Linked DNA regions of Arabidopsis thaliana. The protein of the gene in region 1 purifies or fractionates together with the protein of each later gene. This does not show direct contact. Each region holds a gene or a part of one and is shown in the gene's direction. Other genes may lie near its edges.

Region 1 (5,994 bases):
ATTAACTGGCATCGGAGATTTCGTCGGAGATTGAGACACCCACTTTAAGAAAATTTGATCTTCTTGCCTTACTTGATAATTAAAAATCTTCAGAAGAAAAACCTTGGGATACTTTGGATGGCAGACGGTGGAAACTCAGCTAAACATGCAGAGACCGTCGAGAACGCCGTGGCCGGAGATATCGACTATGCGACTTGAACCGGTAGAAAGAACCCAAAATCTGGGCGGATTTCGCCCTAGATCCGTATTGTTGAAGCTGTGTGAGGAAACCCAAAATTAGGTCACCCAACCCGAATCACCACAACACCGACAGTGAGTGGCATAGAGCGATCGTGATTAGGCCAGGGAGTATTTAGTCAGAGAAGAAAACCACGCTAATTTGCAAAATCACCAATCGAAACTATAGATCTAATAAGAGAAATTGAGGAGGAAACGAAATCGAAACCAACCCAGAAATCTCCTTAACCACAACTTAAAGAGACATAACTGAACATAAACCAAAAAGCCAAACCGACGTCATGACCGTGGTGGCTCACAACGCCGGCGGAATTGAAGCGGTGCTTTTGTTTTTAAGAGAGAAGGAAGAGGATATATTTTTTTTTTTTTTTTTTTTTTTTTTGAATATTAAAAATTGTTTACTTATGTTAGCTGATTAATATTAGTAGTATCAAAAACCGTCTGTTACAATTTTCCGATAAGGCCGTCCAATTGGTTCAATTGGCTTCAGCCCGACATCCACCGGCTTAGTATGCGGCGATGGTCGGCTTTCGTCCAGTAAATCCGGCTCCCATTAGCGGTTTTGGCTGGCTTGGTATTTTCATCTGCCGTGAATCGCTGCCGTGAATCGGTTTTATGCCGATTTCTTTTAGTCCTCTTTAGTTTATCTTTTAAAAATCTCTCTGATCTATGTTTGGTGGTGCCAACCTAACAATTTCTCGTTCAACGGTGGTCTCCAACTAGCTCCTTGAGTTTTGTTTTGTTTTATGTTTCCGGTGGTTTCCAGTGAGGTTATGCGGATATCTAATCCGACCAGATCGGGTGGATTTGCTGCTTTTTCTCTTGGATGTTCTCAAACTGGTTCTTCAGATCTTTGGTTACAACAAATCTTCATCGGTAATTATGTTCAATGTAATGAAAGAAGACTTGTTTCCAGCATATTAAGATTGCCTGTAGCTGTTTCAACATTCTCCGGTGACAAGCAACAACAAAAAACGATGCTTAAACTTTTTCCGGCGTCGATTGTGTTTACAATAGTCGGAGTAATTAACGGCGAAGGATGACGGAAAGTTTCCAAGCTTTTCTTGCAACACGTTTCATCTACGTATCTTTGTGTTTGACACGTGTATTGAGCAAAATTTTATCTTTAAGTGATGTAGCCATTTGGGCCATTAATGGGTTGTAACCATTGTGATGTGGATTTTAATAAAACTAAACCTTCAGTGAAAAAAAAAAAAAAGCTGATTAATATTAAAAATCCAACCAGTTTATAATCCAGAACAACGGTTTTCTTAAATTGACTAGTGACCCAAATTCTTAAATAGGCTACAAAAACCGCAGGCCCATTTAGTAATATCTATTTTTCGTTTGACTGAGAGAAAACAAAACACCATCCAATTCCAACGCACAAAAAAAAAAAAAAAAAAACTTATCGGAAACAGAAAAAAGAAGAGAGAGAGCTATCAATCGATCATTGATTGATTGCAGAGAAGCAGCGAAAGAGACATTTCCAAATCTAATCTCAATCCAATCCAATTCAGGTTTTTTCCATCTCTCTCTGTTGAGCTACTTCTGAATTAGCTTCTTCTATGTTCGATTTCCAGCTGTTGATAGTTTAGCTAGAGAATCAATTTCGAATTTCATCTTGAGGAAGCAATTTTAGTAATTTAGGTTTTGAATTTTCCTTTTGAGGTGTTGTAGGGTTGTTGCTACCTTCACGAATGACGACGACTTCTGTTTGCCCGTTCTCGAAAGCTGCTCGTCCTGACGATGGGTCGACTCGAAAACAAGGCGAAATTACCGCTTCTGGTTGTCCTTTTTCTAAAGCTGCTCGTCCCGACGATGCCTCTGCTCGAAAGCAAGGGGAAACGACGGCTTCTGGTTGCCCTTTTTCTAAATCTGCTCGTCCTGACGAAAATGGGAGTAAAGGATGTCCTGAACAAGAAGGAAACTTGAATAAGGACTCTACTGATTCTGCAACGGTACCTGCCAAGTGCCCTTTTGGCTATGACTCTCAAACATTCAAGCTTGGGCCTTTTAGCTGTATGTTATGTCAAGCACTTCTATATGAGAGCAGTAGATGTGTGCCTTGCACACATGTGTTCTGCAAGTAAGCCATAGTTGCTCGGCCGCTTATTTCTTTTTTGGCTCATGATTGGGTCTACTTTTCTTATACTTTGTGGTTTCTTGAATGCAGAGTATGCTTAACACGGTTTAAGGACTGCCCTCTATGCGGTGCTGACATTGAAAGTATTGAAGTTGATGAAAACCTTCAGAAGATGGTTGATCAATTTATTGAAGGCCATGCTAGAATTAAGAGATCTGTCGTCAATGGAACAGAAAAAGAAGAGGTCGAAAATGATAACAAAAAAGTGATTTACGCTGACGTTTCCATGGAAAGAGGTTCTTTCTTGGTGCAACAAGCTATGAGGGTGAGTTCTGTCTCTAAATTTTGTTGACCTAACCGATGGGATTATTCTCTTTTGCACCACTTACATTTGTTATGATGTCCCGCTGTGAGATCTTGTTCTAATTCAACTTGTATGCGCAGGCATTTAGTGCCCAAAATTATGAAAGTGCTAAATCAAGGTTGGCAATGTGTACCGAGGACATTCGGGATCAACTAGGGAGGGAGGGCAATACACCAGAGTTGTGTTCACAGCTTGGTGCAGTCCTTGGCATGCTTGGTGACTGTAGGTATGATATTGTCTTCTTTTTTATCCCAAGTTGTTTATTTCTAAGATGTATCCATTCTCGAGTTTCTGTGAACAATTAAGATTATGAAAACAACGGTGCTTTCGAATGTGGTCACCAATGTGGTCTTTTATGATCCCGCTTGAGCCACTTTGTTGTTCAAATTGATTTTTTTTAATTTGGAGTTTCTCAAGTATGTGGCCCTTCCTTGGCAGTTTCCTCAATTGATAGTTTCTCAAGTCGACTGGTTGTTGCTTTCATCTTGCTTAGAGTGCGCATGGCACTTTGGGAAATACTAAAATAATTTCTTTCTCGTTTGAACTAGATTCTGGTTTTCTAGATGGACCCTGTCTACATCAATTGACTGGAAATATATTCATATATTCAGATTTTTCTGTATCCTCTTATCATTTGCATACATCTTTCTCTGTGGTTCAATCACCTCGTTCAGAATAAATGGAAAGGAGAAGCAACAGTACATGCTTGGTTCGAAAAACCTACTTTATACATAATCATTTTCTCCTCCTGAACTGTGTTATTTTGGCCAAAATGTTTGATCTTCTGTTTGGTGTGTTGAATTTTTTCTTTTTCCGGGACTTAAGTTTGATGGTTAAATTATTTTTTGTTGTTGTTGCAGCCGAGCGATGGGAGACTCAAGCTCTGCAGTCAAGCATTTTGAAGAGAGTGTTGAATTCCTTATGAAACTGCCGTTGAATGATTTGGAGGTTATAGCACATTGGTTCTTGTTAAATTTTGATGTTGAAAACTTTTTACCTTTTTGCTTACAATTTTAACTTAACTTGCAGATTACACATACACTTTCTGTCTCACTCAATAAAATAGGAGATCTAAAATATTATGACGAAGATCTACAAGCTGCAAGGTCGTATTATGATAGAGCTTTAAATGTCAGACGTGATGCAATGAAGCACCACCCAAATGCTCCTTCACAAGTAAGTGTGCCCTCATACAGTTTTCTGTTTTTGCTCTTCTTTGTTTTGTCCCAATGTTTGGTTAGCTGAACTGGCTACTCTTAGTCGCCATATACATTTCAAGGTCTCGCAGAAAAATATCTGTTGTTAGCTAAGTTATTGACTTATTGTAGCATTCGTGAAGGCTCTTTTGTAGATCGTAATCTCTCACTCTCTAGGCAGAAAGCGTTTATTTATGTGATTGTTACATCTTGGTGTTCATTTGGGTCCAGGCAAAATGAATTCAAATGCATTAAAAGATATAGAGATTAACTTAAGGTGCTAGTGGATCAAAGGATCTGAAATACGATGTAAAGTGAAAATAGTATACTTGTTCTCAATGTGTTCAAGCGGGTTTCTTGGTTCACTCTTTTCATTTTACTTATTTGTTACTTTACCATGAATGTTCAGAGAAATTCTCTAAATAGTTTCCTAGATTTTATTCAAGTCAATTGCTATTTTGTTGCCTGGGTTGAACTGAGGTTTAGGTAACTGACGTGTTGTCGTTGCAGTATACATACTTGGATGAGGTGTCATTTAATTCTCTGCGATAAAGTTACTCTCTTTTGGATACATATAATTAGATTTACGTGCATTGTAATTGGGTTATTCTGTTGGTTGGAAATCTTCTCTTTGTTTTCTTATTTTATACTTGATTTCTTGCCTAGAGAAATTGGAACTCAAATATAGTAAGCAAAGGTCTGTCCGGAAGTAGAAATTGATTTCTTTTGTTATTTCTACATTTTTTATGTAGATTCTGGATGTGGCTGTTTCCTTAGCCAAAGTTGCGGATATAGACAGGACTCTACAAAATGAAGTTGCAGCGACAGATGGGTTCAAGGAAGGCATGAGACTGCTGGAATCTTTGAAACTGGACTCTGAAGATTCTGCTCTCGAGCAACGGGTAAGATTCTTGCACGACTCCCTTTTTATTTGTATCTTATCCAAAGCTGCTGAATGTCAGTAAAACTTTATCTGACAAATGTAATTTTAACATGCATGCAGCGGCTCTCTGTACTGGAGTTCCTTAAGAAGCAAGTAGAAACCGATGCTGAAACTGCACTCTAAACCGATGCAGGCTTAAGTACGTATATAGAAATTATACCTAAGTTCTCGTCTGTGGCATTTTGCTGAATAAAGAAAGCAAAAATGTTGTATTTGCGCTCAAGGGACAAAGAAACAGAGTTGTCTGTATGTTGTGAATTGTGATGGTTTTCAACTTTCAATGCACTAATCTTGCAATGTTAAATTGTTAAGCATGATTGTACTCTATGCACTTGTGAAATTTAAAAATTAAGATATCTTAAGCGGCTACAGCTGTGAACTGCTTTCTATTTCTTTTCAGTGCAAAATGAGAAAGAACCCAACAGAGATTGAGAGATGATGTGAAAGGAAAATGCAAGTATTTGCAAACTCAATCAGCTACAAAGAGTATAAATTGCGACAACAAAAATTTGTCTTTGTTGTTTTGTTGAATGAAGTTTTTCTTGTAACTACTCTTACAAAAATAAAAACATAAACATAGTCAATCCCTAAAGCCGATGATACTATGCAAACGACAAAGATATACTAACTCCAACGCACGAATCAACAAAATTAGGTCACTTTTACGAAAATAAATCTACATAATCAACAAAATTAGGTCAACTTCGTTCTATTTGTAAAGCTTTTTTCAGTATTTTTTTCTTTAATATGTTCACGTCTTTTAACTGTTCATATAATTACGTAACTAAATCTTTAACTTCGTATGTAAAACTATGTTTTTACGTATTAGATATAGAGAAATTGTTAAGAATGTTTTTCCAAAAATATGTTTTTTTAGTACTATCCTCCCATGTAATCATTTTTATTGATATTATCTTTTAATTATTAATGACTATTTTGCTTCTATTTGAAAATACTTAAATCAACAAAATGAAAAAATGATTTTTTCCGCCAAAAAATGTACTTCACATCAACTGCTATGAAACAATGTACTGATTTTATCAATTCACAAAAATTCTTGCCTCTAATCAATCGTGATTCAAGCAATCATGCAAAATCTTGAGTAACCAAGCCTAAAAAACCTAAAAACCTAATCAATTCTTAAAAGATACGGAAATTAAAGTCAAAG
Region 2 (5,816 bases), on another chromosome or scaffold:
GGGATTCAGTTCCCGGATGTTGTCCACGCGTTGAAACCTAACCCGAAAACAAACATCCAAGAGTACTGGAGGATTCTGGACTACATGTCCCACTTGCCTGAGAGTTTGCTCACATGGTGCTGGATGTTTGATGATGTTGGTATTCCACAAGATTACAGGCACATGGAGGGTTTCGGTGTCCACACCTACACTCTTATTGCCAAATCTGGAAAAGTTCTCTTTGTGAAGTTCCACTGGAAACCAACTTGTGGGATCAAGAATCTGACTGATGAAGAGGCCAAGGTTGTTGGAGGAGCCAATCACAGCCACGCCACTAAGGATCTCCACGATGCCATTGCATCTGGCAACTACCCCGAGTGGAAACTTTTCATCCAGACCATGGATCCTGCAGATGAGGATAAGTTTGACTTTGACCCACTTGATGTGACCAAGATCTGGCCTGAGGATATTTTGCCTCTGCAACCGGTTGGTCGCTTGGTTCTGAACAGGACCATTGACAATTTCTTCAATGAAACTGAGCAGCTTGCGTTCAACCCGGGTCTTGTGGTTCCTGGAATCTACTACTCAGACGACAAGCTGCTCCAGTGTAGGATCTTTGCTTATGGTGACACTCAGAGACATCGCCTTGGACCGAATTATTTGCAGCTTCCAGTCAATGCTCCCAAATGTGCTCACCACAACAATCACCATGAAGGTTTTATGAACTTCATGCACAGAGATGAGGAGGTACGTCTTAGTACACCACTTGAGCTACCATTGTTAGTCTTTTTACTTGGAATCAAAATTCTCATTTGGTTTGTACTTTTTACAGATCAATTACTACCCCTCAAAGTTTGATCCTGTCCGCTGCGCTGAGAAAGTTCCCACCCCTACAAACTCCTACACTGGAATTCGAACAAAGGTCCGATTCCTGCCATGCCTTCTCTAAATCTTCAAATCCTAAACTCAAGTTTATTAGAATATTGGTGCTAAGAAAACCTTTTAATTGCTAATGTTGCAGTGCGTCATCAAGAAAGAGAACAACTTCAAACAGGCTGGAGACAGGTACAGATCATGGGCACCAGACAGGCAAGACAGGTTTGTTAAGAGATGGGTGGAGATTCTATCGGAGCCACGTCTCACCCACGAGATCCGCGGCATCTGGATCTCTTACTGGTCTCAGGTCAGAACAAAAAAACACTCGGTCAAATTTCTACGTCCTTTTTACCAAGTTTCAGCAAACTAAAACATTATTTATCTCTCTGTATCTCTCAGGCTGATCGATCCTTGGGACAGAAACTTGCAAGCCGTCTGAACGTGAGGCCAAGCATCTAGAGGCCAATCTCCATATAAGCTCAGTCTATGTGAGGTACAATCAATCTCATCGATCTATCATCGCTTGGTCGTTAAATCCGTCAAAAAGATAATCACATGTGTTGTTGTTTCTTGTCTATATAATAATAATGCTTGTAATCCCAAAAACTCATGTTTCCTTCCTTTCTACTCTCACTGTCTTTGTAATCTCTTTTTACAATAAATCAATGTTTCTTGAAGCAGTAAACAATTTCTAAGATTTATGGTGGTCGTTATACATATTATTAATTCAGGAAAAAAAAGAGAAGATACCGTAATTGAACATGTATTATTTTAAGGAGAATCCTGAAATGGATCAACAATTGTCTAATTATGGTATAGTATCTGGCGAAATCAAAGACGATATCATCCACACGTAATTAGTTTGACTATTAATACGAGGATTATCATTTGGATAAGGATTAACAAAGACAAAACACATACGTGTTTTGGTGTTGAGCTAAAATAAGATATTTTGGCTCTCGCTATAAAAAAAAAATCGACAACAGTGCAGACACACGCCGATTTGCGAGATACACACAGTCTCACCTAAAAATCGCAAAAGAAGAAAAATTCGGATCAAAATTGTCTTCAAGCATCATGGATCCATACAGGGTACATCGATTGATTCTCTTTTTTTGTAATCTGTGATTTTACCTTACTTGATTTCGTATCGATTTGGTGTGATTTCGTGTTGAATCCAAAGTGTATGAATGATCTCTCTCTCTCGGTTAAAATGATGCAAAATTGGGGTGATTGTTCGACTTGTTGAGGTTTTTTTGTGTGAATCGATTTCTTTATTATATAGTGGAGATTGGGTTTCGATTTGCATGCGTTGAAGATTCCACTGGAAAATTCAACATGTTTTTCCGTCTATTGATTGTTTATTTGTCAACATGCTCATGCTCATGCTCATGTTCTAATACACAAGTCTTAAGGCTGACGTGATCTGTCAATATCGTTGTACATGTTTTAAGGTTTCTTTACGATTTTTTTAAAGTTATTTTAATCACTGTGTTCAATTGTGAATATCATTGTTGCTTGTATCGTATTTTTTTAATTGATCATATATACTTATGTGGAATTGTTATGTATCAAGTATCAATGTATCATTATTTGTCATAGACGTTTCTCCAATCTATGGAAATTTGGTTAATTTTTTTGTGATCCAGTTCTTCTGAATTTATTTGTTGGTGTGCAGGTTCGTCCTTCAAGCGCTCATGATTCCCCTTTCTTCACTACAAACTCGGGTGCTCCTGTCTGGAACAACAACTCTTCTTTGACTGTCGGAACTCGAGGTCCGTTTCTCTTTCTTATCTCTTGAATACAAATTATAACAAATATGTTGAACCAGTGGTTGTTAGAAATGCCCTTAAAGCTAGAGTAGTGGAAGCCAAATAATTTTATAAACGTTTGGATAATAATGTCATTAGTGTTTTTGTTGTGGACTTGCGTAAATCACATTTCTTCCTTCAGTTTTATGCCAAATCTGATATAATTCCTCAATGTTGATTCTGTCTCAGTTGCTTGGATTTTTAGATATGTTAAGCGATGGTTTTATATATTGTCAGGTCCAATCCTTCTGGAGGACTATCATCTGCTTGAGAAACTCGCTAACTTTGACAGGGAGCGGATTCCTGAGAGGGTTGTTCATGCCAGGGGAGCCAGTGCTAAGGGTTTCTTTGAAGTCACTCATGACATTACCCAACTTACTTCTGCTGATTTTCTTCGAGGACCTGGTGTTCAGACTCCTGTTATCGTTCGTTTCTCAACTGTCATCCATGAGCGTGGCAGTCCCGAGACTCTCAGAGATCCCCGTGGTTTTGCTGTTAAGTTTTACACCAGAGAGGTTAGCTTTTTGTCTTATCCTTCCATTGTCTCTCTATTTTCTATAACCGATATCGATGTGTTTGCTGATATTCAAACGTTTATTTGCTTATCTATTTCGTTTCACCACCTATATGATTACTTGCAAATCATATCATACTATACTGATGATTCCTCTTACCCTCTGTTTGCAAACTCAGGGGAACTTTGATCTTGTTGGGAACAACTTCCCTGTATTCTTCGTCCGTGATGGAATGAAATTCCCTGACATGGTCCATGCATTGAAACCGAATCCCAAGTCTCACATTCAGGAGAACTGGAGGATACTGGACTTCTTCTCCCACCACCCAGAGAGTTTGCACATGTTTTCATTTCTCTTTGATGATCTCGGTATCCCACAGGACTACAGGCACATGGAAGGCGCTGGGGTCAACACTTACATGCTAATCAACAAAGCTGGAAAAGCTCACTATGTGAAATTCCACTGGAAGCCGACTTGTGGGATCAAATGCCTGTCGGATGAGGAAGCTATCAGAGTTGGAGGAGCCAATCACAGCCATGCCACCAAAGATCTCTATGACTCGATCGCAGCCGGGAACTATCCGCAGTGGAATCTCTTCGTTCAGGTGATGGATCCTGCCCATGAAGACAAATTTGACTTCGATCCGCTTGATGTCACAAAGATCTGGCCTGAAGATATCTTGCCTTTACAACCTGTTGGTCGCTTGGTCTTGAACAAAAACATCGACAACTTCTTTAATGAGAACGAACAGATTGCATTCTGTCCTGCTCTTGTGGTTCCAGGCATCCACTATTCAGATGATAAGCTACTCCAGACCCGGATCTTCTCCTACGCTGATAGTCAGAGACACCGTCTTGGACCAAACTATCTGCAACTACCTGTTAATGCCCCTAAATGTGCTCACCACAACAATCACCATGATGGTTTTATGAACTTCATGCACAGGGATGAGGAGGTAATCTTATCTCTCGGCTCTAGAAACTCCCAGATACTTAAATTCGCAATCACATTTATATGAAGTGAATTTGTTGCTTTCCAATTCCAGGTCAATTACTTCCCTTCAAGGTTGGATCCAGTTCGCCATGCCGAAAAATACCCTACAACTCCTATTGTCTGCTCTGGAAATCGTGAGAAGGTCAGAGTCCTCTACATACATTAATTTTTGATCACAAGTTTTATCCTCATAAGTCATAGTTAAAACTCAAATGTCATCTTTATATCACAGTGCTTCATCGGGAAGGAGAACAACTTCAAGCAACCAGGGGAGAGATACCGGTCCTGGGATTCAGACAGGTAAACACTAAAAACTCAAAAACCACATTGCAAAATCAACAATTACACATGAACCACAAATGTCATAATTCATTCTAATGGTCTTTTGTTTTGTACCAATAGGCAAGAACGATTCGTGAAGCGTTTTGTTGAAGCGCTTTCGGAGCCTCGTGTCACGCACGAAATCCGCAGCATTTGGATCTCTTACTGGTCTCAGGCAGACAAATCTCTGGGACAGAAACTAGCAACTCGTCTTAACGTGAGGCCAAACTTCTGAATGATATCATCTCTAAAGACTAAGTGAAATCCTATAAACTCAATATGCTCCTCTTACGGTTTGGTTTCTAAGTAATCTCGTTTATTGACAATGAAACGCTTAAAGAAGGGTACTAGTTCCTGTTTGTAATCTTCTTTTCAAAATATTAACGATTATTTTCTAAGGCAAATAAATAAAAAGCTATGACTAATATAGCTTAGTAAACAAGTATCACTATCATCCATTTGGTTCTACTTTAAAAATGGATTTTTATTTGTATTTTAATCTTCTGCATCTATGACGTGAGCTTATAGTTGGAATTTTATTGGGGTCTAATGTCAGACGCACGATCTTGATAAAAAAGTTTTATGTCTGTCCATATTTTGATAAATTGGCATAGTCATCACTCATCACGTCAGACCTTTTAATTGGTCAATCGTTATGATGCTACATCGCATTCATAATTTATAATTTACATGTAAGTGGGGGTGGAGTATTTGATTATTCCGCTGCTAGTGGAAATGCAAAAAGAATAATGAGAGCAGACCAATTTTAATTATGCTTATACTTTGTTGCGCTTAACTTTTAATCAGCTAATACAGTCTGATTAATCTGATGTCTCTCAGCCAGTAGTTTCTTTTCTTAAAGAGAACCTCAGCGCAAATCAGAAATTAGACACATGGAGCCACATCAAACTTAATCACCAATAATATCCTTTTCTCATGTATTTTTCAGTCTCATATTTTTTTTTACAACTTGTTAAGTGGTAGTGTGCGAAGATTTTAGATCGAAGTTACGCATCTTAAGAGATTATTTATCCAATGAAATGGTATAGTGAACTGTGTTTGCTAATGGTCCAGGATTTTATACATTTAAAATTCATAACTTTGCAGTTTAACGAAAAACAATAACAAATTTAACGTGTTTTGGTTGTCGTTAACAAGATCTCGGATCCATTTAGGAAAAGTCAATATCTTGATGACGAAATCAAGAAGACTTTACTTTGATTGCATGTGACGGAACTTAAGCACTATACTAAACGATAAAATGTAATTATGTAAATATCTAAGTTTTGAGGTGTATAATGCAAGAGTATAATTTCGTGGA

The links.
Region 2: the proteins of AT3G54360 (region 1) and CAT1 purify together in Arabidopsis thaliana (affinity purification with mass spectrometry, with the first as the bait; one study listed by BioGRID). This does not show direct contact.

The regions. Positions count from the first base shown.
Region 1 is NC_003074.8:20,127,525-20,133,518, reverse strand, and holds AT3G54360 (zinc ion binding protein), read left to right. Parts: upstream 1-1,605; 5' UTR 1,606-1,757; intron 1,758-1,917; 5' UTR 1,918-1,937; coding exon 1,938-2,326; intron 2,327-2,413; coding exon 2,414-2,648; intron 2,649-2,767; coding exon 2,768-2,913; intron 2,914-3,547; coding exon 3,548-3,635; intron 3,636-3,716; coding exon 3,717-3,863; intron 3,864-4,635; coding exon 4,636-4,785; intron 4,786-4,886; coding exon 4,887-4,949; 3' UTR 4,950-4,965; exon of another isoform or gene 4,966-5,226; 3' UTR 5,227-5,392; downstream 5,393-5,994. Other genes in the region: AT3G54363 (uncharacterized protein), read left to right, coding at 984-1,280. UniProt on the Arabidopsis thaliana protein: Has holdase chaperone activity that may fold catalase to a functional structure. Not required for the peroxisome import of catalases. Required for the activity of catalases and acts mainly at the post-transcriptional level.
Region 2 is NC_003070.9:7,144,880-7,150,695, forward strand, and holds CAT1 (catalase 1), read left to right. Parts: upstream 1-1,756; 5' UTR 1,757-1,932; coding exon 1,933-1,947; intron 1,948-2,533; coding exon 2,534-2,630; intron 2,631-2,903; coding exon 2,904-3,181; intron 3,182-3,359; coding exon 3,360-4,136; intron 4,137-4,226; coding exon 4,227-4,316; intron 4,317-4,406; coding exon 4,407-4,474; intron 4,475-4,576; coding exon 4,577-4,730; 3' UTR 4,731-5,301; downstream 5,302-5,816. Other genes in the region: CAT3 (catalase 3), read left to right, coding at 1-726, 812-901, 1,001-1,162, 1,255-1,314. UniProt on the Arabidopsis thaliana protein: Occurs in almost all aerobically respiring organisms and serves to protect cells from the toxic effects of hydrogen peroxide.